2 linked regions of the Daphnia pulex genome follow. The protein of the gene in region 1 purifies or fractionates together with the protein of each later gene. This does not show direct contact. Links are inferred from orthologs where the notes say so. Each region holds a gene or a part of one and is shown on either strand. Other genes may lie near its edges. The genes, in order: ER membrane protein complex subunit 5-like and flotillin-2-like.

The links.
Region 2: the proteins of ER membrane protein complex subunit 5-like (region 1) and flotillin-2-like purify together in Homo sapiens (affinity purification with mass spectrometry; 3 studies listed by BioGRID and IntAct, with this or other methods). This does not show direct contact. The link is inferred for Daphnia pulex from reciprocal best matches to the Homo sapiens genes MMGT1 and FLOT2.

The regions. Positions count from the first base shown.
Region 1 is NC_060023.1:1,096,118-1,098,943, forward strand, and holds ER membrane protein complex subunit 5-like, read right to left. Parts: upstream 1,437-2,826; 5' UTR 1,355-1,436; coding exon 1,276-1,354; intron 1,214-1,275; coding exon 1,161-1,213; intron 1,098-1,160; coding exon 994-1,097; intron 935-993; coding exon 814-934; 3' UTR 726-813; downstream 1-725. Other genes in the region: uncharacterized protein LOC124197044, read left to right, coding at 1,801-1,843, 1,914-1,951, 2,014-2,359, 2,428-2,826. UniProt on the Homo sapiens protein: Part of the endoplasmic reticulum membrane protein complex (EMC) that enables the energy-independent insertion into endoplasmic reticulum membranes of newly synthesized membrane proteins.
Region 2 is NC_060025.1:1,483,798-1,487,625, reverse strand, and holds part of flotillin-2-like, read left to right. Parts: intron 1-2,741; coding exon 2,742-2,836; intron 2,837-3,253; coding exon 3,254-3,475; intron 3,476-3,828. UniProt on the Homo sapiens protein: May act as a scaffolding protein within caveolar membranes, functionally participating in formation of caveolae or caveolae-like vesicles. May be involved in epidermal cell adhesion and epidermal structure and function.

The sequences.
Region 1 (2,826 bases):
AGACTTGACTGGTTTCATAATTTATCCATGCATATTTTTGTTCACATGTGATTGAAAACTGGAAACAACCCACTTACACTTTAGCCAGGGGAACAAAGAAAGAACTTTGTGGAAAGAAAGAAAACACACATTCGCTCATAAAAAACGTATACTTTTAATGACTGGCAAATGAAATACTATGATGTATTCAAACTAACGTGTTGTGGTTCGAATGGGGATCGGAACACTGCAACAATTCTGCTATTTTGTATCTACTGCACGAGGAAATCTACTTCACACTACATGCGCGTGTGAATCCAATTACTCTTGAGAGAGCCAATGCCTAGGGAATTTATAAATAGGTTCAGTGATTCGACGGCATCCCTATCGTTTAAACACAGGCTGAAAGACAAGGGCCTCTTGTAATTTCATTTATAGTACCGAGTACCGACAATTCTGAAACTGCCCTTTCGGACTCGGTCATGACATTGGATCACGTGATCAAATCATGTCGTCTGAATCAAAATGCCAACGCTGTCATATTTTGGCTAAATTCCAAATGGTCGCTTTTCCTCTTTTTCTTTTACCTTTTTGATTTTTCTTACCGTTTCCCGTTTCTTTCTTGGTTTTTTTTCTTGCATATTTATAAACATGAAACGACCGGTTCCGTTTGGCATCATATCAATTTTCAAACAACTGTGCTAAAGATAAATAAATAAAAATGAAATAAAATAAAATCTTAAATATTAGATGTCAAAACATTTCAGAAGGAATGTTAAAATTTATTAACACACACACACACACACACAAGACTAAATGAGTTGATTGAATAGTTTAATTGGCTTCTAATGCCCCTTTTCCAGTGCTAGAACGTGAAAGCACAATAGGATTGAAAATATGTCCCCTGTGATTAAAAGTGTAGAAGGATGGCCGATTATTCAGATTTTTCCAAGTCCTGTAATAGAAAAACATATAATCATAACAATTTTCAAAGATTGGCTATAATTGGCATACTTTTTCTGTAGGTCTATATTGGATCGGATCTCCTTAAATTCACCAGCTATCGTAGTTACTCCAAAAACAGTGAGTAATAAGCTAAATATTGTTTGAAGAACAATCTGTGAAACAATACAATTAACTGTAAAAATCTTCAGCAATGCAAGCTTTTATATGTAACTCACATCTGCGGGGAGCGACGTAAACTCTTGCTCAGTTAGCCGGAGGTATGATCGATCTGTCAAAGGAATAATATATTTTTCTGCGGTTCCCTCCAATGTTATCTATATACAAACTTACGTTGAGCTGCCGAATAAGCAGCGTGAAAAAGCAATACCATTCCCAAAATAAAGATATATTTATTCATTGAGCTTGACATTTCTCGGTCGATTTAGGGGATTCAATCAAATTACCAATTATCACCATTATACGAATCGTCTGCTACACTCTCAAACCCTTGAACAGCGCAGAGCTGCACGACTCTCTTGCAGCTCTAGAGAACTTCGAAAATTTGAAAATAACAAATTTGCAAAGTAAAATAGATTAAAGTAACAGTTTTTTATTTCAATTAAATATAATTTCACATTTAAAAATATTTTCAAACATTTTATTAAAAATATGTAAATAAGTGATACCTACAACTCTGTTGCAAAAAATAGCCTACAGGCTAATACCGTTTCAGGAGCAAACTAAAAAAGAAAAAACGAGTTATGAAGATGACTTTGTGAGCGATACACACGTTATAGGGTCGACAAATCGTTGCCACACAAGTGTCTCCAAAGCAAGCACATTTTTTATAAGTAGTCTTTTCTTCATCTTTTAGAAATGGAGGTGCTACAAGACGCAAATTACGAGTCGATGTCTCTTGGTAAAATGTCCATCGTTTAATCCACGTGTACTTGTTTTTGTTACTAACCTTGGGTATCCATTTCTTATAGATGATGTCATCAGGGATATGAGAGCTAAGAAAACCCTGGTAAGCATAAATTCATGAAACCATTGAAGCAGTGGAGTGTTAACTTTCAATGACCATTCTAGGAAGAAGGACATGTTGAAGATAACTCACCCTTCCTGAGACGGCAGACCAATTTTCAATTTAACAGAAGACCATTAAGAACAGCAATCCAACCAAAGAATTACAACAGGAGTAATTATTTAAATCATATGGCCAAAAAGCGGCTTGTTCAGGCACGCAAAACTCTGGATCTCAGACAAAGACTCATTACTATCAGAGCCAATAAAGCAGGGCTGGATTTAAGATGGAAAATTGTTGCAAACATGATTTTCAAATTAAGACAGCAAGCTAAGTTATCTCAGTCTGGGCCAAGATTTCATCAATTTCCTCAATTGGAAAACTCATGTGGCCCCAGAGCTAGTCCATTTGGTAAATGAATAACAAATTTGCAATTCTTCAGTTGTTTACTTTTCTAATGACATTGCTTCTTATTTCAGGACAGTGTAATGGGATGGTTTCTCAACCTAAAGTGAGCAGATCTACACTGTCTCAAATTGAAAAGCTTGTTGGCAAACTTCCCTCTTGGATGAAGCCTAATACTGCTGCAGTGATTCAAAGAGGACCTACATTACCTCACAGCTACCATAAAGCTTCACCATCTGGTGTTTTCCCAATGTCCCCAGTTCCCAGGGTTTTCTCTCCACCAAAGTTTAGCCATGAACTATCTATGCAACCAAACTGTTTTGCAGCTCCTCACGCGCCTTCATGCTGTCAAGCATCACACAATGTGCCAAATCACTATCAATGTGATATTCCACGCGGAATGCCCCCGCTTGCCTGCGAGATTCCTCCCCCTGCTAACGGAATGCCTCCGCTGGCTTACGAGCCCTCACCAA
Region 2 (3,828 bases), on another chromosome or scaffold:
AGCTAAGAAGTCGAGTGTGGAGTTGCTGGACTGGAACGGAACTCCAAAACTTGTTCTTTTTTTTTAATTTCGCCCGGCAATGACGATGCGTTAACTTGTTTGACGTTAATCGTCCGAGAAGGGAAACTGAAACAGATTTCAAATGGAATAATCATCTTTGAATTTTTTTACTTTTTTCAAATTATTTTTTTCCGAAAAGATGGTGGACGTGTAGAATTTTATTTTTGAATTTTGGAAAAGTCATTCAACCTGAATCGTCGTAACATTTTCCCACCACCACCACCGGCTGCTGCCACCGTATGAATCAGTCGGGCGTCAGAGGGTACATGGCGTAATTATTGTCAAACCCTCCAGGTTCTTTCCTTTTCGCCCCTACTACTCCGCCCACCGGTCTCACCGTACAAGGAAATGATTCGTAATGTCTAGAGTGAGAATGATGTAAGAATCATCGCCTCAATTTTTTTTGAAGTACAAGAAAAAGAGTAGACGGATAATTCCAACAGGAGAAGTGAAGACTTTCTCCAACTGGAAATAATTTGAAATTCAAACTGCCGAGGCAATAGACCGTGTCGTGTCGTATAGTCCCGCTCGTATCGTGTCCAACTGGTTTTTCCTCTTCTTTCCCCTGTGTTGCGTGTCTAGTAAAAATTCCCCATCTCTTTTCTCAAAGTATTTCAGATATTTATTATCTCCGATTCGATTTGTGTAGTCGATAGATTTTTTAAAAAAAGGGGAGGAGGACGACAAGGAGAAAAGATTCTAGTCGTCAGATTCGCTCTGATTCTATTAGCAGAAAACTTTTCACTACGCGAAAGTTGTCGAATCGTAAACTGTCGGCATTCAAATTTGCCGCCCTTGTTTTTCGATTCATTTTTTGCAATTTTTTAAATTTAGCGCCATTGAATTCAGCGCGGGAAAATTTGAAAAGTCGATCGGCCGATTGAAAAGTTGACGGATGTCAAACGAACAATAAAAGTGGCCAACACCCGTAGATTTTCGGGACCGTTTCCACCGGTGGAAATGCGGAGGAGCGTCTTTCTTGTGCCTTGACCGCAATTCTACGGTGGGAGAGAGTCTACCAGTCGATGTAGACATGACGCAAAGTCTTTGAAATAACCAACGTTGTCGTTCGTTTCTTTCCCCGACGAATTATCCCGTTGTTGTTTGAATAGAAGAAGAAGAAGAATCAACACTTTCACGATCTGAAAAATTCCGTTTTTCACGCGGATGACGAAACACGGTGGCGTCTGTCAACCGCTCGTAGACCAGGGATGCGCACGTGACTCCCGGCATGCACGCCAAAAGACCGACCCATTTTTATTCGTGATTTTTATTTACTGTACTTTAATGTATTTGGGTGTTTTAGCTGTGCCTTTCGCCCATTCCATCGCGGTGGGGGTCCGCCGCTCGCTCTCAACTTCTCCGAAAGCCACAAAGTTATTTCTGTCTAGCAAAAAAATAAAAAGAGAATCGAACGTCTTATCTCTTTCAAAACGATATTAAAGCCCCACCCTATTTTTTTCGGTGGAAACTATTCAGAAGAAGACAAAAAAATACACCTGGAATGTAGAGTAAAATAAAAAAAGTCAGAATTTGAAAATCAATTTGAAAAAGGAAAGGAGAAAATCAGAATAGAGAGCGAAGGGAAAGGTGTCAAACAAACGAAAAAAAAGATTCCATTTCCAATCTGCCAAAGGCTCACCAACAAACATTTTTCGCACTGGCCAGACCAACGGTAAAGAAAGGAAAATAAACCTTCCGGGGCTCTTTGGGAGTGGACAAATAATAGAGAGAAATATATAAATCTTATCGGTTGCTGTACATGTACCGTTGTGTTCCTAATACTACTACACATGTCTAGTAGTAGAGAGAGAGCAGCAGCACCCAAAAATACGTCTATACAGAGATGGATGGATGGCAACAATCCGCAACCCATCCGCCCCAATTGATCATCATCAAGAAACCAACCAGAGAAGACCAACCAGAGCGCAGAAAAATTGAGAAAAGATGAAAGAAATAAGATTTTTTTGTCTTTGGGGTTTTTCGACGATTGTCTTTGCCACCAGAACAAGGAGGCTATGCCACCCACCGACCAACCTACCACCACACAACAGGTGGTACCAAAAAAAGGAATATGGTGGATGTGTGGCAGATGCAGAGCGCAGAGCTACTAACAAATTTTTTATTTTCTGACCGTCGGATACGCGCGCAATGTTCCACGACGGGATTTTGTTTAAATGCTCAGCTCTCCAAAGTCTATCCGGCGCTCCTCGATGTTGTGTTGTTCTTATACTGTTGTTTGGTGGTTGTTCCAGTCGTTGCCGGCCACTTTCACGTTGTTAACATCCAAGGACGCGCCCCCGAAAATGAAGAGAGAAAAAAGAGAGACACGAGTGGGGAGAAACATCACGGGCCACGCAATCGAATAATTTCGACGGAAAATTATTTTCCCCCCGCGATGGAGAGAAAACTTTCTCTTTTTTGGCTTATTCTGGATATTGGTGGAGGATTTTGTGTAGATTTGATGAAGGCGCGAAAAAATCTGTTTCAAATGGGAAAACTAGGTCGTGTGTTGTTTGTCTTTTTGATTGAATCGACCGTGGCGAATTTCTTAGTTTGCATTTGCTAATTTTTGGAAAGTTGCCGGGTGATTTTGTTTTAATTGCTGATAATTTCCCTTGATGTTTTATATTTAATTTTCATTCGACTTAATTTTGAATTAAATTGAATAATTATTACAGGCGGCTGCTGTGGTGCCAGTACTAAGACGACCATCGTCGGCGGATGGGCGTGGGCCTGGTGGCTCGTAACGGACGTCCAGCGCATGTCACTCGAGGTAAAACACAAAAATGTTATTTTATTTTCCATTTGGCGCTTCAGCTCAAACAGATAAAATAAATAATTGGCTCCTTCGTGGAAAACATTCGAGTCAAGGGCGCCATTTCCGACAAAATTCAAAAATAAAAACTTTCTCCAAATTTTTTTTGGTAGTTTTTTAGTTTTATTTGTTTCACAATGACGTCACAATTGAAATCCGTTTAGACACCCAAGAAATTGGTGTTGCGGTTTCCGTTATCCGGCGACTTCCGAAGCGGATGAGACGGGAGAGTCTATTGATTCACTTTTTTGTTGTTTTTGTTTTGAAATTACATTTTATTTTATTATTTTTTTCCCAGGCTCCTTATTTATTAAATGGTGAGAAGATAATAATCACCGACTTCCGTTTGGTTGTTTTCTATTTGCTCCTATTCAGGTGATGACGTTGAATCCAATGTGCGAGCACGTCGAGACGGCCCAGGGAGTGCCGCTGACGGTCACCGGAGTGGCCCAGTGCAAGATCATGACGGACAAGGAGCTACTGCGGACGGCCTCTGAGCAATTTCTCGGCAAAACTTCCCAAGAAGTCCAGCTAACGATCCTTCAAACCCTCGAAGGCCACCTGCGCGCCATCCTAGGCACTCTCTCCGTCGAAGAGGTGCATAGTTGTTGTTGCTCTTTTCAAGGTTTCCCGTCTGGTTTGTTTTCTTTTCAAATTCCCGCCGAATTGGCCGTTTAAACCTCCCGCTGAGAGTCCACCGAAAATGTAGAGGGGAAAATGGACATGTCCGTCTGAATAAAGAAAAAAGAAATGCCCAGGGAAAACCGCAAAATCCAGTAATAACGGTGTCTGTTGTTGTTGCTGCAGTCAACTTTGTCTTACACAACAACAACCAGCAGATATCCATAACTATAAAGAAGCCGACTTTAACGAGTTGTTTCTCTGTTTCGTTGGCGAGTTGGTGTAACGATCCCCAATTGACAGATGACGACAATGTAGAACACAAAATG